Linked DNA regions of Drosophila melanogaster. The protein of the gene in region 2 interacts with the protein of the main gene of each other region in a pairwise test. Each region holds a gene or a part of one and is shown on either strand. Other genes may lie near its edges.

Evidence for each region. Proteins that work in one complex are often made in the same cells at the same time.
Region 1: the proteins of Rab7 (region 2) and Mon1 interact in a two-hybrid assay, tested with the Drosophila melanogaster proteins (one study listed by BioGRID).
Region 3: the proteins of Rab7 (region 2) and Plekhm1 interact in a two-hybrid assay, tested with the Drosophila melanogaster proteins (one study listed by BioGRID).

The regions. Positions count from the first base shown.
Region 1 is NT_033779.5:4,846,505-4,854,200, reverse strand, and holds Mon1 (monensin sensitivity 1), read right to left. Parts: upstream 3,561-7,696; 5' UTR 3,451-3,560; coding exon 2,858-3,450; intron 2,794-2,857; coding exon 2,642-2,793; intron 2,588-2,641; coding exon 1,746-2,587; 3' UTR 1,561-1,745; downstream 1-1,560. Other genes in the region: mRpS2 (mitochondrial ribosomal protein S2), read left to right, coding at 3,838-3,862, 3,920-4,689; CG11927 (uncharacterized protein), read right to left, coding at 4,877-6,346. UniProt on the Drosophila melanogaster protein: Part of the Mon1-Ccz1 guanyl-nucleotide exchange factor complex specific for Rab7 that promotes the exchange of GDP to GTP, converting Rab7 from an inactive GDP-bound form into an active GTP-bound form.
Region 2 is NT_033777.3:23,989,093-23,997,228, forward strand, and holds Rab7 (Rab7), read left to right. Parts: upstream 1-3,915; 5' UTR 3,916-4,048; intron 4,049-4,086; exon of another isoform or gene 4,087-4,184; intron 4,185-4,640; exon of another isoform or gene 4,641-4,727; intron 4,728-4,853; 5' UTR 4,854-4,909; coding exon 4,910-5,089; intron 5,090-5,153; coding exon 5,154-5,510; intron 5,511-5,571; coding exon 5,572-5,658; 3' UTR 5,659-6,360; downstream 6,361-8,136. Other genes in the region: Epp (ecdysteroid phosphate phosphatase), read right to left, coding at 380-618, 679-1,560, 1,623-1,935, 1,994-2,163, 2,682-2,783, 2,955-3,150, 3,206-3,446, 3,592-3,704; CG33108 (uncharacterized protein), read left to right, coding at 6,644-6,874, 6,940-7,187, 8,020-8,116; LSm3 (uncharacterized protein), read left to right, coding at 7,426-7,446, 7,500-7,613, 7,674-7,850. UniProt on the Drosophila melanogaster protein: Small GTPase which cycles between active GTP-bound and inactive GDP-bound states. In its active state, binds to a variety of effector proteins playing a key role in the regulation of endo-lysosomal trafficking.
Region 3 is NT_033778.4:22,099,248-22,107,523, reverse strand, and holds Plekhm1 (pleckstrin homology and RUN domain containing M1), read right to left. Parts: upstream 4,348-8,276; 5' UTR 4,273-4,347; coding exon 4,143-4,272; intron 4,083-4,142; coding exon 3,583-4,082; intron 3,448-3,582; coding exon 2,746-3,447; intron 2,693-2,745; coding exon 2,529-2,692; intron 2,473-2,528; coding exon 1,950-2,472; intron 1,879-1,949; coding exon 1,735-1,878; 3' UTR 1,561-1,734; downstream 1-1,560. Other genes in the region: Vrp1 (verprolin 1), read left to right, coding at 319-629.

The DNA of each region.
Region 1 (7,696 bases), on a different chromosome or scaffold from region 2:
AGGATTGCAATTTATCTGAGAGTTTGCGAAAACTTTTTGCAACAACAATTTGAATTGGCAGAAGAAAAATACAAGAGTTGCTCAAGATTGTGCGGAACTAGAAGAAAAATAAGCAAATACTTATTGTATTTAAAAAGTTTTTGTATAATAATCATAGAGTACTTTGATAATACGAAATTCTTTAAGAAAATCTTCATAGTTTCTAATTTGGCTAAAATTTTTAAAACATTTTGCAATAAAGCCGTGAAATATTTTTGAAATATTTTCTCAAGTTCCGCAATCAACTTTTTATGCTGCCAATTATGAAATTTGGCCACATTTGCTGTGCTCTGCCAGGAAAGTTGATTAAAGCCAAGGAGTTTGGAGGCCGAGAGAAGAGCCATGAAAAGTCCAAGGCGCTAAAACTTTTTCCGACTTAAATAGAATCCTTCGCTCCACTCGCATGCACCTACTCCTGCCACTCTACTTTTTCATTTAGTCCTTCTTTCTGCCACACGCGCTGCTTTCAAAATAACTCTGGGATACACAAAAAGACATCCTGTGGCCTCCAATGTGTCCCTGTGTGTGTGTGTGTGTGTCTGTGTGTGTCTGTATGGGTATGGGTGTATGGGTGTTTGTGTGGGGAAAGGTGAAACTTTGGAACTCCTTGTTGTTGCTGCTGCTCCTGGCGCCGCCGATTGTTAATTCAGGACTACGAATTTGGCTCGAAAGACGAACGGCAAATTAACGAGGATTCGAAAACGAAAGAAATACGAAACGGGGAATGCACGAGAAATGCGTATAAAAATATTCATTTTGCTCATAAATTAAACGATTTGCACGATGAAAGCGGGTAGACCAACACGCGCGCAAAACTAACGGAGCGGCGTCTCACACACACAAACACACACAGACACACACATACACACACACACACATGCACTCTGGCATATATCCTGGCAGGATTTCGTCCTGGCCCATGTTTGTATGTGTATTAATGCCGCCGCAGAGCTAAGCGCGCAAAAACCGACAGATACACGAGCATTTAACACCCAAAAAATGCGTGGCGCATGTTGAAAAGCTGCTCCGTTTCGAGCAACTTAAATAGGTGGAAACAAAAAACGCCGCGTTTGCATCGTAATTTTCCATTTTATGCTGGGCATTTTCTATCTAGCACCACGCAATTTTCCACATTTTTCACATACTCATCGGTTTTAGCAATTATTTTGTAATTCTTTTCGGTCAGGCACTGGTTCAACTTTGGATTTCCGGTGGCAGCGCCCACAATCGAAGCGTGTGCGTTCGCGTTTGTGTCCTGTACTCAATTGTGTTCTCCGAGCGGTCGGCCAGCACCAGTCACATCGTAATCCTTGCGATTGGGTCGCCGATGCGAGTGCGCGCGTTAAGTTGTTGATTCCGCAAAAGCTCTCTCTGCGATTCCTTTCGCTCTCGAAAGTCCATCCCCGAAGATAACCGGTTTGGTTTGAGTCCGAACTTAAAGGATATGCTGCGCTAGCGGTGACTCGAACCTTTCGACAGAACTCAGTTTTCTATAGATCCACTAAGAGATAAACTATCTATAAAGTTTTAGAATTTACTTAAAGTTTTAAATTACAAATGTACATGCGTGATTCTGGTATACTAGGTTCAGTTAAACAAACGCCGTCACAACTGCAGCACAACAACTTTGTCCTGGTTCGATTGGCAGAGGAGCAATAAAAAAATAGTCATATATCTCACAATGCCCTAGCGAAGCGCGCTAAAGCTTAGAATGTGGCATGGTTTCGTATAAAGTACACGTCGTACTCCTTCTCGATCCACTTGATCAGCTTGTCCACGTACTTGATCACAGTGGCTTTGTCCACAACCGGCTCGAATATGGCGTACAGTTCGTAGGTTCCGGTTGCCCAGGCCAGGACCACCTCGCGCTCCTTCATCTCGTAGATAAGCTTCAGCGGGCGACTACTGTTGTGGATGCGATGCAGCAAGTCGCAGTAGATGGCCTCCAGGCGCTCCAGCTCCGTCAGAGATTTGTACGGATGCCTGAGCATGGGACACAGCAGTTGAGCTGTGCTCTTGGGCTTGTAAAGAAAGTGCCGCAGCTCGGGGATTCCCACAACCTGTTGGTAGAGTTTCGCATTGAACGGCTGCTGCAGCTCCTCGTTGATGGCTTCCAAGCAGTGGCTTTTGCGTAGCTTCTCCGTGATCTTTGCCTTGGCCTCTGCCAGCGTGAAAAAGGCATCTCTGTCCACGGACAGCAGGAGCAAACAGGCCTGGCAATCATCCGCCAGGTACGAGACATGCGCATGCAGATACCCATTCATGTCGAACTTGGGCAGGCAAATTGGTGACCAGTTCTCGGAGCTCTTGAAGGACTCGGAGCACTCTACCAGGTTGAAGATCAGACGCAAATCAGCCGGATGGATGGAGTACTTCTTCATGCGCACCAATGCTATCAGTTTGTTATTGGCAATTAGCACGGCAAACACCAGGTTCTTGATCTTGGAGCAGTTGCTCTGAATGGCGCTGGTGATTTGCGATCGTATCGTTGTGGGCAATGGGAAGACGCGAATTGAGTTGGTCAAAAATGTGAAGATGTTGTTGGACACTAAAAGAAGTCGTTGAGAAATTAAGCAATTTGGATATGCTTAGATATCCTTACCCTTGGCACTACTACTGTCGTTCGCCAACAGATTGTAGAACAATCGTTCGCTGCCGGAGAGCAGTCTCCTCAGATCAAAGTTCTTGCGCCTCTCAAAGATTTTCGTCATGTGTGAATACGTCAGAATGGACAATATTTGATTGTAGACATCCCTGGTAAAGAATGGGAAGTTCCCATTAGTTAGCATTGCTATCAGGTGCGTTATAATTGACTCACCCCAGTTGAAGCTGCAGCTGCTGCACACTCATGTTGCTCCTGCTGGCAGCCACCAGGATGAGCGAGCTGCGTTGCATGAAAGCGAACTTAATGCCGCCCGCATGAATGGAGGTAATAGCATCCTGGCCCATTTGGACGAAGCTTACCAGTGCCTGAATGACACCGAAAAGCGTGGCCAGTTTATCCTCATTGCCGTGTAGCGAGAAGATTGGCTTTCCCGCCTCGCTTAGTATGAAGATGTGTTTCTTTTGGCCCTGCCACAGACTGTCGTGCTGGTAATCGTATTCCTCCTCCAGTCCCCCGCCAATGGAGTCCTCTGTTTTGGCGCTGGTCGAGGTGCTCAATGCCAGAGACTCCACAGAGGCAGCCAGTCCCTTGTTCTCCTGCCCCGGCTCCGGACTGAGGGCACTGTTATCTCGCATGGTGCCCAGGCCATCTCTTAGCTCAGAGATAATACTATGGTTTTGTTGCTCGGCCTCCTGGTCGGGATCCGCCTCTTGATAGAGATTTGGGGACTCCGGATCGCCCTCTGCGTCTAGATACTCGCAGGTGGAGTTCGTGTCCGACCTGACTGACGTCTGCTCTACTTCCATTTCGAATTCGTTTAACTATTTCAGTCGCTGGAACATTGCAGTTTGCCAATATTTAGCAATATCATAAATTTACAACTAAATCATTACAGCTGGAATGGATTTCCCAACACTGTCCGAAGCAGAAGGTGAAATAAAGGGTGTTCCGGAAAACACACCATAAGATAGGCTTATTCATTCTTAAATGTTATGAAAAATAAGTTAATTTGATATATGGATTTTGAATTACTTTATCTTAATAATTATAATTAAATTTTTATATCTGTTATTTTGTTTTTGTTTTAAGACCTCTTATAGAAACACTTCTATCCAACACTACCCACCAGCTGTTTACCAAAATCGACGGAAAAGAAGAAGAACATAGGTTATGAAAACACGAGCCGCTCCAAAATGTTGAGAAAATCGTTTGCCAACCGTAAGTAATCAATTAAAACATCAAGGAAACCAAATTATACATGCTTTCCCTTGGTAGTACCCCGCTTTGGTCAGATGTGCGGTCTGCCACGACGCCTGCAGAGCACACAGCCGGAGCAATCGGTGGAAACGGAACCGGAGGACATCGCCCTGGTGGAACAGCGGATTCTGAAGCATCCGGACTACTTCCAAGTGCACAACCTGTTCACCGTGCGCGACCTCTTCAATGCCCGAGTGCACTATGGCCACAAGGAGGGCTCCCTGGACGACCGAATGCGTCCGTACTTGTTCGGCAGTCGATTAGGTCATCTGATCTTCGATCTGGACAAGACGGCATCACATCTGCGCGATGCCCTCAACTTTGCCGCACACATTGCCTTCCGAGATGGCATCATTCTGTTCTTCAACCGCAACGCCATGAACTCACATCTCGTGGAGCGAAAGGCCCAGGAGGCCGGTGAATTCTCGCACACTCGCTTTTGGCGCGGCGGCATCTTTACCAATGCCAATGTGCAATTCGATGCGGTCACCAGGCTGCCCGATCTTTGCATTTTCCTCAACACTCAAAACAACGTTATGGCTCAGCACACGGCGGTTCGGGACGCCGCCAAAATGGCCATACCAACGATTGGCATAGTGGACAGCAATTGCAATCCCAACCTGATCACCTATCCGGTGCCCGGCAACGATGACTCGCCGGCCGCAGTGGAGCTCTATTGCAACCTCTTCAAGGAAGCCATACTGCGTGGCAAGCGGGAACGACGCCAACTCCTTGGCCTTCCGCCTCTGGACGAATCCCAGCCGCGGCGCAGTCGCAAAACTAAGTAATAGCCAAGTAGTAGTGTCAAGTTGATTTTGTTACATTTATCTTAATACAAATGCCAATGGCCGTCAATCCACGATGAAGAAGAAATTGCTAAATATGGTTGCAAAATTGCAGAACTTTGTGCATGTGCCATGCTATTTGATAGTGTTTAAGAAAACCCACGACCTGGGTTAGTTTCGGATAGCTATTCTAGGGCGGCAGCAGAGTGGCACCCTTGACAAAGTTGTTGCTGTAGTGGCTGAAATACGAGGGATTGGAGTTGGACCCCGTGTTGTTGGAACTTCCAGAGGGCCAGTAGTTGGTAATCTGTGGTGGGGTGTCAGGTGGCGGCGGAGGCGGCGCTGAGGTACCAATGATGGAGAGATCCGTACCGCCTTTGATGGCACGGCCGGGACCGAAGAACGTATCCATTTGCTGCTTCTTGAAATCATGCATCGACGCAAAACCATTCGGCGGCCTCTCCTTGGACATGTCCCACGAGCCGATGCTGGATGACTTGCGCACGAACACTTGGCCCTTTTCATTCTTGTCCTGCTCCACCCAGCGCTCTGCATGCTTCACCGTCAGCATCGCCTTGTGCGCAACTATATACTCCTCGGCCTTCTGTAGTCGTTCCAGTTGCTGCTCGTCCAGCTGGTCGCGCGGCAGCTTCCCCAAACGCTGCACCGTTCGCTTCCAGTTGTGGAACTCACGGTTTTTAAAGGGCTTCATGGCCATACGGTACTCCTTCCACTGGCGCTGGCGCTCCTCCTTCGTACCAGGCGGTGCATCCTCGAGCGGCGGTGGTGCCTCTGGCTTCTGTATCCATTGGCCATTGACCTGGACAAATGTGCCGCAGCGCTTGGGCTTCTTGGAGGGCTGCGCTTCCCCGTTTGACGGCGAATTGTTGCCATTGCTTGGCGGTGGGGGCGGAGGCATAAGCCTCGTATCTTTGTCACTGTTGCCGCGATGGTTTACCTTGAATTTCTTGTTATTCTGGTTTGGATTGCTGCGATTGTTTTGTGCTCCCTGCTCCTTGGGTACCAGATTCCACAAGCTGGGGCACTTGGGCATGGGCGGTTGGATTGGTGGTGGTCTATGTTGTGGCGACATCATGTCCTCCCAGAACGGAGGCGGCTGCAGAGGTCGGTGATTGTGATTCCGGCGGGGCCCAGAACCACGTGGTCCTCCAAAGCCCACTGGACCACCGGGGCCCATACTGCTCATGGGACCACAGGGACCCATATTGCTTATGGGACCGCGAGGTCCTCCTGGTCCCATTGGCCCCATGGGGGGACCGCATTGTCCGGGTCCAGGCCCAAAATTGCCTCCAAAGCCCATGTTCATCAGCTGCATAGGAAGTGGAGGCGGTCGATTCATCGGAGGATAGTTCCTGTCCTGGTAGCTTTGCGGACCTCCGCCTCCATGAAAGGCATTGTTGCTATTCGAAGACCAATGTTTACGTCCGTTGCCGTTGTTGTTATTGTTGTTGTTGTTACTATTGTTATTGTTGCTCCGTTGTAGTCCGCTTTTGGTATCCGGTTTCAGTGCATCCTTGCATTTCTTCCAATCTGCAAACGACATTTTCAGCGGCTTAGTTTCAGGCTCATCTTTGCCGGACTCCGGAACGACTTCCTTGGAATCCTCTGGTGCCGCCTCCACGTCCCCGTTTTCAGACATCTCGCACCTTAGAGAGTGGGAATACACTTTATAAATATATCAACTTAATTTTATTTGAGTTTTGCTTAGCGATGGCAAACAAAAATTTCAATAACAACAAATTGAAGGAACAGCCGATGTTTTCTATCGATATTTTCGTGCTTAAAATTTTAGGGAGTTTCCCCTGAAGTATTTTCTTAAGAGTCCTGTTGTTCTTAAAAAAGAACAGTAGTTTCCAAATGTATTCTCTAAACTTTCCGCTATACCAGTAAATCTTCATTTGTTAACTAGTAAGCGATATATTAATGCCCAACGTAATATAATATATATTTAACATTTTCGATCCCATGCAGACACAACCGGCGGGGAATAGTAATTGCCCAGCGTCCAGATACCATAGTGAATTGTTGGTTATCAGCGATAAGTGTCTGATTTCGTAACATTTATTTCATATTTAAATTTAAATTTTAATACGAACACATCTGTGATGCGAAATTGATGTGAGCTTTTTGACTGCGCTTTACGTGAACTGGTCTGGATAGCTGTGGCGCATCTCTAAAATCTAACGTGTTCGATCAGGTGGCAACACCCACCGTAAAAAACGATTTTAGTCGCAGTCGCAGAGATTTTGGTTTTGGTAAGCTCTAGTAATTTATTGGAAATTACGATCCAAAATACACCGTTTTAAGAGACGTTTCAATCGGCCATTAAAGTAAATAATAAGCGCGACGAAGACTAAACATCAAAAGTGTTGAAACTAGAACGAGAGTGCAAAGTCGGTCGCCAGCAAAACGCGTAGTTTGCTTATTTTAACGAAAAGCGGCCAGTGCCATTAAAATATTACTCAATTTCACAGAGAATTTTGGCCGAAAACGGATGCAATATATGGATATATAGACCCTGTTTCCTGAAAGTTAACTTCCTTTTTGTTCTACGCCCAACACGGTCGTCAACTGCGCTGCCATCGTCGACGTCGGCAGAGGCCATTCTTGTTGTTGCTATTCTCGACATATGATTCAATAGAGCGATCGCCTCTCTCTTTCTCCCTCCCACGGACAATTTCAGTTTTTTGTAATATTTCTGTTAGCTGTGTTTTAGTTGCCCATGTTTGTTTGTTCTTGTTGTTGTTGCTGCTGCTGCTGTTGCTGCAGCGGCAGTAAGTGATATTTAAAAAAGAAATGAGTTGTTCGCATGGAGCGAAAGTCGAACTGAAATAACACAAATGGTCGTCCGTTTGTCGTTCCCATTCGATATATGCCAACAATTTTCATCAATTATTTACATATTTTGCTTTTGGAACTTCGCACCGATTAACTGAGCAGAAGCCAGAAGCTCAGAAGGCGCCAATGGGTTAATTTGGCCACTAAACTA
Region 2 (8,136 bases):
CATACGGTATAAATGTATATATTCAATATATATAGTCAATAGATCGCATTGATTGCAATAAAGTATGAGTCCGTCGCGCTGGCTTCTCAATAAGCAGTGCAATTATAATAGATGGATTGTTTATACACCGCAGCAAAATCGCATTCCATCGGTTTGCATCATAAGTGTACATATAAATTACTTTAAAATTTGTATGGCAGTACAATCAACTTAATGCGGCGCCAATTTCTAAACAGTAAATCAATACGTACTTTAAATAGCTAAGCGAACAAAAAATTTACGTATAGTTTCTTCAGCGTGTGATTCACCTCCAGGTCCGTCCCAATCGAGTTGAGTCTCAGTCTCAATGCTTGCAGAGAAACTGCTCTAAGCACTGGCACTAGGTGGCCGACAAGGCGTTCCACTCGAACCGCGGATTCTTTGAGTGCGTCACCGGAAGACATTCGGGTTCAACCAGCTTCCAGACGCCGTCCACCTGTTCCACCGTTGCCAGGCTGCAGTAGGGGATCTTGTGGATGACTTGGCGCAATTCGTTCGTGCTGCGTGGAACTCCACCGGTCAGTTGACGGGAACAAGTGTCCAGTGTGGTGGCATGGGCAACAACCAAAATATTTCCAGCTGGAATTAAAGAAAATTGGCATTCGAGTATTTTTTAAAACCACATTTGTATAAATTTACTTGTCTGCTCCAATAGCTGGAGGATAACGTCATGGTTACGTTCATAAAACTGCTCGGTGGACTCCTTTAGGCGAGCAGTTAGCTCAGACGCTGGCTGCACCGGCTCATAATCCAAATCAACGTCGAACTTGGCCTCGGTCAGCTCGTTCTTAGTCAGCCAGTCGGGTACACCGCTCGGATACCAGGCCATCCACTCAAACAGGCCCGGCTCCAGTTTGATTTTTTGCTTGCCCGTAAGCTTCAGCCCCTCAAGCGCACTGGTGCAAGTCTGGATGCAGCGATACGAGGGCGAACAGTAAACATGGTCGATCTGCACTTGAGCCTCCAGCAAAGCTTGACCAATAAGATTGGCCTGATAGACACCCACATTTGTCAGCGGAGAATCATTCTGCCAGCCCTCCGGACTGTTCTTCCGACGAGGCAGCGTCTTCGGCATGTTTAAATCCTTCCTCATGTAATTTCCAAACTCATCGAAGCAATATGGAATCCATGTTCCAAAAGTAAAGTCGACTCGCTCGCCATGCCGCATAATGTAGATCTTTCTGTTCTTGGCATGCGAGGCGTCAAGGGATCCGGGATGCAAGGAGTGGTCCGAGTGTACACTAAGTGTGTCATCTGGACGCGGAGGCTGGGCTGCCGGTGGTTCCACCAAGATCTCGTCCACCGGTTGCTTGGACATGGAGGTGGAGGAAGAAGACATATTGGTCGTTATCTCGATCGTAGGCGTGTTAGGGTTATGCTGATGGGTCAAGTTGTGGCTGTTTAGCAATTGCACTGAGGGTAGTTCCAGGCAGGGCTTCAAAGTCTGTCTCAAATACTTCTCCACGCTCTGTTCGGATTCCTCAAACGAAGAGCCTTCAATTATATCAGGATGTGCTGTGTCTGTTGAGAGAGGCAATGTAACTAACTTAATCCAGGATCACTGTATTCAAAATACGACTCACTCTGACGATCGTCGGGCTCCGTTGATATACTGCGTCCGTCCACAATGTCCAAGTCCTCGGCGGAAGTTAATGATGAAGCTACGCTCTTGGAGAGCTGGACCACACGATGCAGGGTCCAGGCGTCCGATTCTGCGGTGCGTTCGGTGTAATTGACGGGCAAATGACCGGTGCTTCCGGTCAACCAAGATATGCCTTCGGCCCAACCGTCACTGGAACTGTCTACTACCTCGGTATTCAAATAGATGTAATCGCCGATTCGGAGCTCCAGTTCATCCGTCTCGTGCGGGTTGTGTGGATAAACTACCTTTTGAACCTGAAAAGTACAAGATAAAATTATAACTCATCCTCGATCGATTATAAGGAGCTCTAACTTGTTTGGTGGCGAGCCGAGGATCGCGGGAATATAGACGAAGTTCCCAATTGGAAGCGCAGCTGGCGTCTAAGGTCTCCACGAGTGCTTTCAGTGCATTAAACTGTGCCTGCGGGAACTGGTAGGCAAGCGTCAGGTGCAGGCTCTTAACGTGTGGCTCGAGTGAGATGGCTACAGGTAGTTAGAAGCTATTAGTAGCCTTTCGCTAGGCGGAACAAACGATTACTGAATGGAAATGAAGGCGGTGCTGGTTATATGCTTTCGTATCTAACACGGTGAATCGATGTTTTTCGATAAGGAATTATAGTCACTTAAAGTTATCTTTGGGCAAAACCAAACGTCACGGGCTTATCAACTACAGTTCTGGTCTTCTAATAATCAAAGATTTTTTGTATATATAGTGACACTAATCGGTTTTAATAATAAACTGAAATATTTTTCAAACAAATGAAACGGGGTATAAACAAATTAACTATGTAGCTACCAAAAACATCGATCACCTTGCTATCTACAGTTACTACTAATTAACTACAATTAGCAGCGTCATGTTGAATTTCGCCAAAAGGGCGATTAGATTAGTAACTTATCTACCAGTGCAACTAAAGCATGCATAGAGTGATAAGAAAGTGTACTTTTGGGTGAATCAAAAACGATTTTATGCAAACTAATGGCTCTAGCTAATGGCTTACATCGACTGCTGCGCGGAATGCAGCGGGTGCCCGAGGAGACAGCACCGCACCAGGGAAAGCAGGCCACAATGGCGTCCAACTGCTCATAGGTATCGCTAATGACTGTGCAGCATATCCCAGATTATCCAGAAGTGTGCAGGAAGAGAGGAGAACAACATAACCGTGTAAGCCACTCCGAAAAATGGAAAACCATCAACCGAATCGAACAGAACGTGAGAAAGGTAAACCAAAACAACCCAAAGAGAGTGCAACCAACAGAAGGATAATTCGTACTTGAGTTGGACACCTCCTTCACGTACTGCAGGGCCAGTCGTTTCAGATAGTTGGCATCCTCCTCGGCCACGAAAAAACCCATGAAGTTTTGACTCATGTAGGGCTCCAGTTTAAGGGGGCGATCCAACAAGGCGCCCGTCATGTCCACCACCTGTTTGAGCGCCTTGGACAGCTGCAGCGAGCACTCATCGGGGGCCTGTAATTTCGATTAGGTGAATAAATAAAGTCTGGATAATCCAACTTAAGCTCACTTTAAAAAACGAAACCAGGGTTATGTGAGGCACGTAGTTGTGTGCTCCATTCCAACCGCACATTTGGCGCGACTTGGCCCAGAACTCCTCCAGCTGCTGCAGAAACGGACCCGTGGGACAAGCATATATAATATATTCCCTGGGGGCGCACTCGTCCAGGGTGCCATCGTTGACATGTGCCAGCAACCAATCCGAGGCAATCTGGACACCACGATTACCAGTTGAAGCCAAAGCTTTCTCCCTGTGTAGGGGTAAGCAAAAAAATCAATACTCTGATTCTATGAAACAAATCAACATAGTGGGTCACTCGCACGCATAGCCACTATATCTTGGATGGAACCTAGAGCAGCTGGTGACTGCCAATACGCTATGCATAGAAAACTCACGCTCTATGCCTGGGAAACCCCATTTGGAGCAATGTTTGGAGCGGCGTCAGATGCTGCTTAGAGATGCAGATCCTCGTAGGGGTCTGACTCTTACGCGGCGGAAGCGTGGCCATTTCGATTATAGCCTCCTATGTAAGCCCAGGTGACCACCGTTTAGCAGCTTTTGGTTTTTCCTGGCTGTTCAATATTTTTCAGTGATAATTTCAACAAAAATAGGATACAATTCGTTAATTGGCCACAAAAAAGTGTTGGCTAACGACAGCCTAAAGATAGTCAACTTCTACCGATAGCTGTAACACGACTGCACTATCGATAACCAGTACTGACCAGTAGAGATGAGAGCGATTCTCCTAGCGAGACAACAACAAAATTCACTGCGTAATTAATTGAATATTTTTTAGTAAAACCGAAGCGCCCCACAAAGAAACAGCTCTTGGAGTGTTCACCAGTGTTCAAAGTGAGTGCCACTACAAAAGGAATTAGGCGAATAGCAAAAGCAAAGCGTTAAAAAGAGTGTTACGCAGCAGGCGAAAAGTGCATGGAAAATGCCAGTGGAGCCCCACATCAAACATACACACGCACACTCGAAAAACGTACACAACAAAGACCCACGCACACCGACGCAATTAGTGGCGTAGTTGTAATGGTGGAGCACAAAAACAAGTTGTTCATGGTCTAAAAAAGGGGGGCGGGGAGTTTATCTCCCTTTGGAGAGTCCACTTTCGCACTATTTTCGATTGCACCATAGTGACTCCCCCTGCCATCGAGGACTTTGAGGAAATGGGCGTTTTCCCAGGCACTTTTCCTGGTATTCCAGACCCGCTTTATTAGCTCGACCTCGTCTTTGTCTGTACTCAGCGCACTTTCTCCGCTGCGCCAATAGTGATCACGCTTTATCGCCTCGATGCGGGCACCTCCCTCCCCTACTGACCGCCTGTTCACACAGTCCAGCGATCACACACTGCGGATTGCTCAGAGTGACTCACCCGATTTGTTTATCACCCAGCACGGCGTAGCACAACTGCTCGTCATTACAAACATTTTACAGCTGCGAATGGCTTGCACTTCGAGCACTTAGGCAGTCAGGTCCTGGCAGAGATTACGGCTTTCATTGGCATGTAGTTTAGACTCTAGAGGTTTGCGCAGTTCACTTTCATTTATCTTAGGAAAGAAACCATCACACCCCTACACTTCCTAATCGAATTAGAGGAAACCGCAATGGTATTTTTAACACACAATCAATAATATTCTGTGGTTTTCAGCACCAAATACCAAAAGAAATAACCCCGAGTAAGCCAACGCCACAAACTGCATCGAAATGTCCGGACGTAAGAAATCCCTACTGAAAGTCATCATTCTGGGCGACAGCAGTGTGGGCAAGACCTCTCTGATGAATCAGTATGTAAACAAACGCTTCTCCAACCAATACAAAGCCACGATCGGAGCTGATTTCTGCACGAAAGAGGTGGTGGTCAACGACCGAGTGGTCACAATGCAGGTAAGCACTATGAACTTCCAGTAATCCTATTTCAGTGACATAACTCGCAAAATTTCAATAACAGATCTGGGACACTGCTGGTCAGGAACGCTTCCAGTCGCTTGGAGTGGCGTTTTACCGCGGAGCCGACTGCTGCGTGCTTGTCTACGATGTGACGGCGCCCAACTCGTTCAAGAATCTCGACTCCTGGCGCGACGAGTTCCTCATACAGGCCAGTCCACGGGATCCCGATCACTTCCCCTTCGTTGTGTTGGGCAATAAGGTGGATTTGGACAACCGCCAGGTGTCCACGCGTCGAGCGCAGCAATGGTGCCAATCTAAGAACGATATACCCTACTACGAAACGTCCGCCAAGGAGGGCATCAACGTGGAGATGGCGTTTCAAGTTATAGCCAAGAATGCGTTAGAGTTGGAGGCGGAGGTAAGAAATCCTATTTAAATATTGTTTTCCATACTAAATCGAACTTTGTACTTTCACACAGGCTGAAGTTATCAACGATTTCCCCGATCAGATTACCTTGGGCTCGCAAAACAATCGTCCTGGCAATCCTGACAACTGTCAGTGCTAATGTAACAACAACGCAAAATGGATAATTACACAATCTATATTATTAAATAATATTTCCAACATAATAATGAACATGAGAAGCAAGCAACACAAAGGACGATAGAGGAAGGTGTTATATGATTAAGTAAAACAATTTCAGCAAAACAGCATAGTAATTAATTAACTGATAGGATGCAAAGTTCAGATTCAGATCAACATCAGCTGAGTCTTAACGAGCCTCTGGCAAAGGCTTAACCAGTATACCCACTTTCCTACGACCTAAGTAACCGTTCAATGAATAAGTATGCTCTGTGTACTCGTATTTAATAATTCATGTTTCTGACCGACCGCCCGCCTATCTCCCTAGTACTATTTTTGCCATTGTATTAGTCAAATTTTGCACGCAACCGCTGCTGGCTTTTGCAACAGAACAGCAACATTGAGAATACAACATCAGAGTATCTTCTAAACAAACAAAAAATCTTGTGATTGTAAATTTAATAAAAGAATAACTTTTTAAATGTAATTTACAGACATAATTTCCTGCACCATCGAATTGGCTACTCTATTGTAATTGGCTGAGCTCCACAAAACTTCTTTATGCATAACATTCGAGCGTGAATTTGGTTTAGTTATAACGTTACTCGATATATCCTATAACTATGAATAGTATTCCATGTAAAATTGCTCCTTGTTTTTGGTAATACATATATGTAAATTGTGTATATTTCGAATTTATTTTTTTCCAAAGATTCATTTTATGAATTCTCATGCTCTTTGGTTTAATTTAAAGAATAAACTTGAACAATTTACAATAAAAGTCAAATAAGCTTATTTTGATATTTTTATGTGGGCTTAATTTACTTTGTGCCCACTGTAGAACAGATGCAACCAGGTGAACACAGAATATCGCTTATCGATAACTCAGCCCTGTTAATATTTGTCTGCGAAAACAGCTGTGGCTATTGTCTGTTAACTCGCTTAGTCTATTTATTTAACTAAATACCATGTCGAATATTTCAAGTGTGGCACCACCTCCTCCCCCACCACCCATGATAGTCACTCCTAGCACACCTGCTACCACAAAGGAACGTCCAGTTGGGGACAATATAACCACCGATGAGTGCACTTGGGCATGTGAGTATCCTGAGGTGCAGAAAGGATGCTATTTAAGTCGCGTCTGCCAATATACACCACCGAAACACTGTCAATACTACTCCGTAAACAGCATAGTGCAGGTGAGTTAGAAAACAATAAAGATTTCTCAGTTTGTTATTCGATAACATATGTATGTGCACCGAAGGTGGGACCTACTTGTGGCTTAGTGGCCCTCAGCATGTTGCTTGGTGGCAGTCCCACGGCAGATGATCTCCTCAAGGATGCAATCGACCAGGAGTATACCCTTAATGGTGAACTATTTAGTGCTCAGTATTTGTTTGAACTGACCCGGAAGCATATGCCAGGACCTGCTGCGTGTCAGTTGCATGTAGGTCCTTTGGACTGCAAAAAAGTCAAGGAACTTTTAAAGGCCGGAGGCTGCCTACTAGTGCCGTATCCTTTTTCAAAAATATTGCCATTTAAACCCGGGTTGAGTTTGGTATTCCCCTGCATTTAAAGCCGTTGGCGCCTAACAGCACTTGTAAACGGTGAACAGCACACTGTTGTCTGGCAGTGTTGTAAAACTCGCGGTAGTTCAGTGGTGCAACTTATAAACAGCGTTTTGTGTTTCGCAAAATAATATACAATTTTCAGTCAGTAAGTAAACGAGAAGTGCAAATACTTTTATTAAATGGCCGACGAAACAGAGCAGGTATGTGTAAGAATAAAAGCGAAAAGGATATTCTCTATATTCCGTACTTGCAGCTCAGTCAGGTGATTTTGCCGGTAAAGGAGCCTTTGGATCTCATCCGATTGAGTTTAGATGAGAAGGTGTACGTAAAGATGCGCAACGAGCGGGAACTGCGAGGACGTCTTCACGTGAGTTGATGCCTCTTTTTACTGTTGCCCAGCAATCTTTCAATATACACCTTTATCTAGGCCTTTGATCAGCATTTGAACATGGTGCTCGGCGATGCGGAGGAGACGGTGACCACTGTGGAGATCGACGAGGAGACCTATGAGGAGGTGTACAAGACCGCCAAGCGCACTATTCCCATGCTATTCGTTAGAGGCGATGGAGTCATCCTGGTTTCGCCACCCATGCGGGTGGGCTAGCGGGTCTTGTTTAGCTTTAAATCAATTACCTGCATTTATACAAGCTATATCTAAATAGGTTTATAAATGTCTTTTAAAAAAAATAATGTCTTGTTTAATTTTTGCTTACTATATAAATATATAAAAATCTTTTCTATGGGTTGTCCTTAATCAATTGTAATTTCAAAAGCTACGATGCCGATGTAAACCATGCGCCATGCGTTAAAAATGGACACCGAGCCCATTGGGCTTTGATTGTAGGTTATCTGGTGGACACGCAGGACCGGGTGAGTGGAAAAAGCTAGGC
Region 3 (8,276 bases), on a different chromosome or scaffold from region 2:
GCAGATTTCTTCGCTTGGTCATTGGTTCAAATTCATTTGTCCGTTTCAGAAGATTATTACTTCAAAAATATTCTTCAATCTATATAATTTTGATTTTTATGAAATATTTTTGTAGCTTTATTTCAGAATTTCAAGGCACATTGTGCACATTGTCACTTCTGCCGCATATTGCACTAAAAGTGTTCTTACCATTTGTATTTCGTTTTCGCTTGCATCATAGCAGCTCCTTTTGGCTTAGTTAGTCTTCGCTATTTTATATATCTATCCATGTTTGTACATATATCTTTCTCCCCGCTACTCCGATTCTTCCGCAAACAGCACCCGGAAACAGCAGCGTGAACAACAACAACAACGCGGTGGCAAGCAACAATAATACGACCTCGAATCCTAATCCTGGCGGGTTCGGAGGAGGATTAGCTCCAGTGCTAAAGCCGGCGCACGCTCCACTGAAAAAGCATCGGGCACCGGCTCCACCTCCTCAAGCTGGCGTGGCAGCCGCCACGGTATCAGTCATCCGGCAATCAAGTTTCCTTTACGGCGGAGCGGCAGGTGGTTCCAGTGGCTCCACCAGCATACGGCCACAGTCCCAGCCACCTGGAATCGGTCCGCGGAACTCCACCGTCTACTGAACTTAGGGCTTGATCTGTATATACATAAGTGTGTGCATGTGGAGTGTGTGTTTGTGGCTCGTTGTTGATGTATGTTGTAAGCGGGAGTGTTTTGTGCCACAGGCAAAAGTTCAAAAGTCAATGAAAAGTGCAATAAACCAAATACCATGGCACACTGAAAAGACCCAATAGAGAACCTGAAGAAAGGGCAGGCCCATGCTAAAAAATCACCGATAATTCGTTCGCGTCTTCCCAGGCTGCACTTAATAAATGGCTAAAGCAGAGAACAAAATAAGCCGCACATAAAATTTGTATATAGAATTAGCACCAAGTTAGTGAAATTAATTACCCAGCTCCATCTATACCTTTTATAGGCGGGTGTAAATGATTGTATGTACATTTAGGAGCGCGCCTCTTTGCATAAATATCTTACTAGACTGAACATGTTAAAACCCAACAGCAACAAATAATTAATGTAATTATATACATACGATATTTAGAATCGACTATTGTACGACTTAATCCCCTAGAGCAATACACACACACAAACAAGAGAAATATGTTAACAATGAAATACTGAAGCACAACCGAGGGCATTTCAACGAAACTCGCCACATTCCATTTCAAAATTCTTTAGTTCAATGTGCAATACGAGAGTTGGTGTGATAATCTCGAAAGTATTTAGGTATTATCTATCATCTGTGGTTTTCGGTAAACGTTTGTTAAACTCCTTATTGGGCGATAATTATTGGAAGTGAACATAATGCATATTTATATTATTATCCTTATTATTAACTCAATCATTGTTGTTGGACTTGGTGTCATTAGAAGTATTATTCAGCAATTGCATAACATTTTATTCCGAATCAAAATCATTGCAGTTATAAATAAAATTACGAAGTCATTCAAAAACTGAGCAACTGAGTGGTTTCATTGAGTCAACAAAATTGGTAACCATTTTTGCAAAGCCATGTTATGTATGCTATATATTTGAGTAAGTGTAAATGCTTTTAAGCCATAACAATTTTTATCTTAACCCTAGCTTAAATGTAAAGTAAAGCCTTTTCTTGGTTACGTGTAATAACAAATCGCACTTGTTCAACCTAAAATCTAAATATGGCCGATTTTAGGCAACCTCATTCTTCTGTTTAAGACATTGCACCGCCTCCTGGAGGCCCTGATCCTCGCGCTTACGTATTCGTTCACATTTGGGACATGGCTGCTTCTCATTCAAACACTCAGCGTGGAACACAGCTCCACAGGCCAGACACTGTAAAAAGATGTGTGAGCGCCAGTATGAAAATATCTGTCATCTTGCAATTTCTTGATAGTTCGACTCACTCTGAATGTGGTGCTGATGTGAAAGGGATACAGCACCCTTGGACTCTGGCATATCTCGCAGATGAATCCTTTTAGGTGGCACAGTCTGCACTTCAAGACATGCGCTTCCCCCAATTTGAAGGCTTTCTGCAGCTGCTGACACAGCACACCTCGCTGAATAAGAGCCAAATCTGCTATGGAGTACAGATGAATGTGCTCGTAAAGGTACTCCCTGCCAGCAAACTGATTCTGGAGAAGCTCTATGCTGCTCGGAGCACAGGTATACAAATAGGCCCTAATGAAGTTTAGTCGGATCCGCAGGGATTGCAATTCAGCCATGGCATCGGAAGCAAAATATATTCTCGGGTTAAGCAACTGCATGTCCAGGAATGGATGCGATCGGAATTCGGCAAGGAAAGTTGCTGCCCGCTTGCTGACGCTGTACTTTCGGAAATCCCAATTGTAAATGATGCGAGCGGGTATCAATTGCATCTCAACATCCATGCAGCTATTGCAGTAGTAGCTGCCACTAAAGGCGCAAACTCTAAGGGTAGATACAAATGTAAGTGGGATTAATAATGGACAAACGGATGATCTCACTGAAAGTTGGAGTAGCCAATGCCCAGCGGATGCTGACAGCTCTTGCACAGGAATCCCTGGGCATCCAGACCCGGCTCTCGAGCTAGTTGACACAGCTGGGCCACCATTTGCTGCAGCTCCACCATGTCAAACTCTGAGGTAAGCAGCTCAAACTCCGAGTTGGTCTATAATAAGATAGCATTTAATTTATAATAATCTTAGTTCTCAACCAACTTACGTCCAGTGACTGCAGATCACTCAAGTCTTCTGAAATGGGCGGATCGGTATCTCGCTGAGGCTGAGCCACATTGAGGTTGGAGGCACTGGCCCGAAACTTCTCCCAGATCTCCGACCATCCGGCTCCACTTTCCCGGTTGCTTTCGTGTTTCCGCAACAGAGCATTGTAGCTGCATCTGTCCGTAGTTGGAGAACGCAGACTGACTGAACTACTGACGCTCACAGATCGCTGGAAAAACCTAGATCCTGTCAGTTCCTCTGTGGGTGATGTAGGCGTTGCTTCCAAGTCACCAGACCATGAGGTTTGCATTAGATTGGACAAAGAATTACTGCCCTGGGGCAGAAGAGAAGGTGCTTCAAGATCCAGATCGGCGAAGGAGCTGCTGTCCATTTGACGATTGGATTTTTTCCTCGACCTCGTCTTACTGCCAGATGGAGCTTCCTGCTCTGCTGTTTCATTCGTTTCCGCTTTATCGCCACCTGTTTGCTCCTCGTTAATCACATCCATTTCATCAAACTTTTGTATCAGCAGGTCCAGGTTCTCTCGCTGGCTGAGTTCGGGAACACCAAAGTTGCTATTCCTTCCAAAGGGGCTATTCGAAATGGACTCCGAGAACAGTTCATTGGTCTGCAGGGGCTGTGGCGTCGGTATGGCAATGATATCGGATCCAAGCGAGCTGGCCACATCAACTCCGCTGCTAATCTGCAATGGTATACACAAATTAGTCCACTTGTAGCGATAAAGACCAGGAAAGGCCCTCTTATCATAGGAATTTTGGATTGTTGAACTATACGATAAGTCTAAGCCGAACATTCTTGGCAGGATAAAAGATCATACCGGGCAGGACTTGAGAGCAGGTGTCCAGAGATCAGATAGCTGCAGGGAGTAGTCGGGCCAGTGGTTCAACAGGCTGGAGTTCACTGGCAGATCGAATTGCACATAGGCCTCCAAGCTCTCCATAATCTTGGCGGCCGTCTCCAGACCCTCGGAGTCCCGCATAAGGGCGTTTCGCTTGTAGTACTGCGACAGGGCCGATCCGTTCTTGCGCATGTTGTTCAGATAGGAGGAGAACACAGACTCGTTAAGCGACTGGCGCACCCAGGCGCGGCACTGCCCCGTCTCTGAGGTGATCTGGCTGAGACCCTGCACCTGCTCGATCACCTGCTTGTGCATAAAGACCATGCAGGGCGCCCAGAAGCTGGGCTCGGGCCTGCGTTCCACATCGCCAGCGATGACATTGAAGGTGGCGGACAGGAAGGAGTCCTTCAGCCCGTGCAGGAACAGGGCCTCCAGGGTGGTGCACAGGGCACTGGTCTGCTCACATACTCCCAGGACCTCTGCAATACGTGAATGTATATAAATGGATGGCCATTTCCGGGGGAGTACCCAGAACTCACCCAAACTCTTCTGTTTCACCTCGAACTCTATCTCACGCGCATTTTCGTTCAGTGTATTTATGAGCGCCTCCTTCACGACATTCTCCCGTTTCGAAGAAAAATGGTTCAGGCTGCGGAACAGGGAGCTCATTTGGATGTCGATCCGCACCTTTTGTTGTGGTTTTCCGAGGGTCTAAAGAAATTAACATTGAAGAAATCATCCCCAAAGTGTGACCGTATGCCAGCCCCAAAACAACAAAGAAAAATATACTAGTAATAATTTAGTGCAGTTAGGAAAATGCGATTGTAAATGTTTGCATAGAACATGTTTCACAAAACGTATATAGTTTTATTCTAGTTTAATGTTATAAATTTAAAGTAGTAAAATTAAATTGTATGTAATAATTTAAAGAAGCCCGCGTTCTTCACAAGTTATCGATAGACAATACTTTTTGAAAACCTCAAGCTGCATGGTCACCCTGGAGCGTACACTGGTCAAGTCTGACGTCATTTTGAAACGGTTCTTAACCGATTTCATTTAAATTCAAAATAAATTAAATTTTTAAGTCCGCCAGCCAAACAAACCGTGTCCATTAAAATCTGCAAAAGTGCGCGCCAAGGCAAGCAAAAAGGTCAGATCTTTGAAACTTCAGCGCATTAAGCCACTGAAACCCGTTCTGGTTATTCTTGACTTTCTTCTCAGATCAAATCGCAAATCTCGGCTTATGTGTGAATGCTCGATTATGAGGAAAAAAAAACCCCACGCAGGCTAGCAAAAAGTCACAGCGAAACCGTCAACGAGACAGAATATTAATTGATCTCGCTTGGATCTTTCCTATCCCCAGCTTGTCACTGTCTTGTTATTGTGTTTTGGGTATTTTCGGGTTTTGTTTCAATGAACCGCCATATATTCTGCGGCCAAATGACTCATGCAGATCTTTCGGCCGCCAAGGAATTTTATTAATGAAAGACCATCCCGACTTGTTGAAGGAACCAGAAAAAAAACCCATGCACGTAGTCAGTTGATATAATACTAAAATCAAAATTTGTGTTAAGGTCACGGTGACCAACAAAGGCGACTTTATGTATATGCTTGTTGTTGTCAACGCATTTTTCAATATTTTTGCAATAAAAACGTTGTTGTTTTTACAGAAGATGCGCCGCTCTTGTAGTTGTGAACCAACTGGTTCAGCATTCAAAATGCAAACTGGTCTCAGCCGCCAATTTGTTTGACTTTTCGACTTTTTTCGGCTTGTTGTGTTGTTTTTCGAAAAACACATTTTCCATGTGGGCTGTGTGCATTCAGCAAATTGCATTTTATTCAATTTTATCGATACGAAACGGGTTACCAAATCATTAATAACATAAACAATTTGGCAAATCAGCAATTGCGAGAGTTGTTTCGTTTATTGGCGGCATTCTTTTGGAATGATGTGTTGATGTGTTGTTTTACTCAATACTCACCATGAATTTTAAAATAGAATTTCAAACCTGAAAAACAATGAGTGTATCGGGTGAAATTAGAATTTATTGTTAATAAAACTTGTTAAAAATAATCAGATTTTAATTTATGAATACAAAATGTTATCTTGAGATCTCTTCATGAAAGTTGGAAAGTTGAAAAGCAACCATAACAGAGCACTTAAGTTTGAAATTTACATGCCTATATACTCGGGCTTCCCCAATCCAAATTATATATATATATACAAGTCGGATTTCGCATGGTGAAAAACCGTTGGACTTTGTTGTGCGACATTAATGACGATAAACAATTAATACGGCGCTTTGGGTGAAGGGTCGCGGCGACATTTCCCAACTGAGCCGACTCTATTAAAGTAAATAATATGTGGCGCTTTGTTGCCGCTCTTAGCTGACTGTGCAGTTTCCGAGATGCCAGCGTGTTGCCATTGTTGTGGCCAAAAGCCGAAAAGCCAAAAGAAACCAAGCCAAACGAAACGAAACGAGACGAAGCGGCCTGAAATGTATAAAAACGTTTGTTTTCGTAATACAATTTTGATTACTTCTTCGACGCCAGCCGCCCATTGATGGGCATTGTCTCAGCTGGGCCCCTTTGTGCGTCCCTTAGCGATTTGATTTATGGGCGGAGGAGCTGGGCGCCCAATACTCCACTCCAACAGCGCTACCGTTGGCCATTTGCCGGGATCGCGGTCCATTTGGCAATAGCTTTGTTGTAATTGTTACAATAATAACAGCCGTGATTCCCGACACCACTGCCCCCCATCAACTGGGCAATCACTGACATCGCAGTGGCATGGTTTTCGGGGCTATTCCAAATAGATATCATTCAAAGATATATTTCTCAGGAATAAGCTTTTTTAGAGATTATAGAATTTAATATTATATATACTGCTACAATTTATGTGAACCCCTTTCCTCAAACTACGCCCATTTGCACCAACTGATGGGGCGAGGAAACTCTTTTTGAAGCTCTTTTGATCGTCGAAAGCCAAATGCCGGTACAAATGCTCAAATGCGGAACCAATAAGCTGACATAATTTTTTGTGATGGGCGCTGAAAAAAAAAGAAGATTTGCTCGGGCCAAATGATAATTACATTCCAGAGACATCTGAAGATATGGTCACGGTTGGCTTTCGAATGCGATCATTACCGCACTTAAGTTTGAAGACCATAGAAGATGGTTATTCAAGGACGTAACAGAAACATATCGTTGATACTAAAGTACGAGACTATTGAACTACCTTCTATATGCAAAATATGAAAAGAATTTCATATGGGGGGCGATCATAAAGGTGATGACTTATGAGCACGAGGTGCGATGATCTAATCACCGGTCGCGTCAATAGCCGGGCGGGCCGAAATGCCAAAAGTTCATCGATCACTGACACCGCCGACCAACTCAACGCATCTTTACTGAACGCTGATCTGCCAAAAGTCTGATCGATCGATCGATTGGTTCTCTGACTCAGACCAGTCAAGAACCCAATGCACTGAGCCAGACTGAAACAGGCAAGTTTGAAATGTGTTTATGTCAACGCCGCGATTGTCAAATATTGTATTAATGAATTGAGATGGAGTCGAGAACAACAAGAACTCGCTGTGGGAACAGGATCTGGCGAATCTGTGGCACATGGAAGGCATAACTTATGCATTGTTAGCATAATAATTTTCCAAAAATCAAGCCAAACCTGTCAAAATAAACAAACCGAACGGAGCACATTCGTTTTCAATAACCATTTGCATTTCGTGTGTGTTTAATTTATGCGAAAGTTGTGTCTATTTGGGAGGCGATTTAGCTATTGTCTTGTAAATCATTTAGCGAATAGCACTAATGTTAGGCGACTGTTAGCTGGATGTTAATATTAACACCTTATCGAAATGCGGGATCAACTTCTATTTTGGTATGCTTGCTTCGTTGATATTAATATATAATACATATTACATATATTATCTTGTTCGTCATATCTACTAATCTCATAAAGATATTCGTGCTATAGACGCATTTTTAAGATAACACAAAAGTTGGCTTACAGGGGTTAATATCTGAATCCGATCATGTTGCTCGGCTGACCTTGAACGTCATTGGCAGTGCGTCAAAGTGTGGCGAGAGACCAGTATGCAAAAAAAAACTGATCACCTGGGGTAATTAAAATAATTATTTTGCACTCTTTTCCGGTTGATAGTAGTACACACACACATGGCGATCAGAAGGGTTGGAAAATTCGGGGGGAAGCTGAAAAAGGCTCTTGAATAGATAACGCTTTCGCGCGTTCGAAATTCCCATTTTTCCCAACTTACTTACTTGACACTCTGCCGCCGTCGCAGTCGGCGTCGCTGGCGACGTCGCGGCTTTAGCCAAGTCGAGCTTGGAGCAGCGGCTCTTGGCCAAGTTTATTGAAAGCGCAGAATCCGTGAGCTACGGACGTGTTTCGCTCGAGCGCATCGCGCATCTCCCAGATACGACCTACGATCTCCATCGCTCTTGCTCGCTCGCACCGCCGCCCTCCGCGCATAGCACCCTCTCGCTCGCGCACCGAAGTGATCGTGATATCGTGCCGCGGATTTTATTCCGATTGAGAAAAGGCGGTGAAAATATTACACATTATAGTTGTCGGCTTCGATTGCGACGCCTGCGATTTTGTCATCGCGATCATTGTTGGCCGGATCGACGGCTCC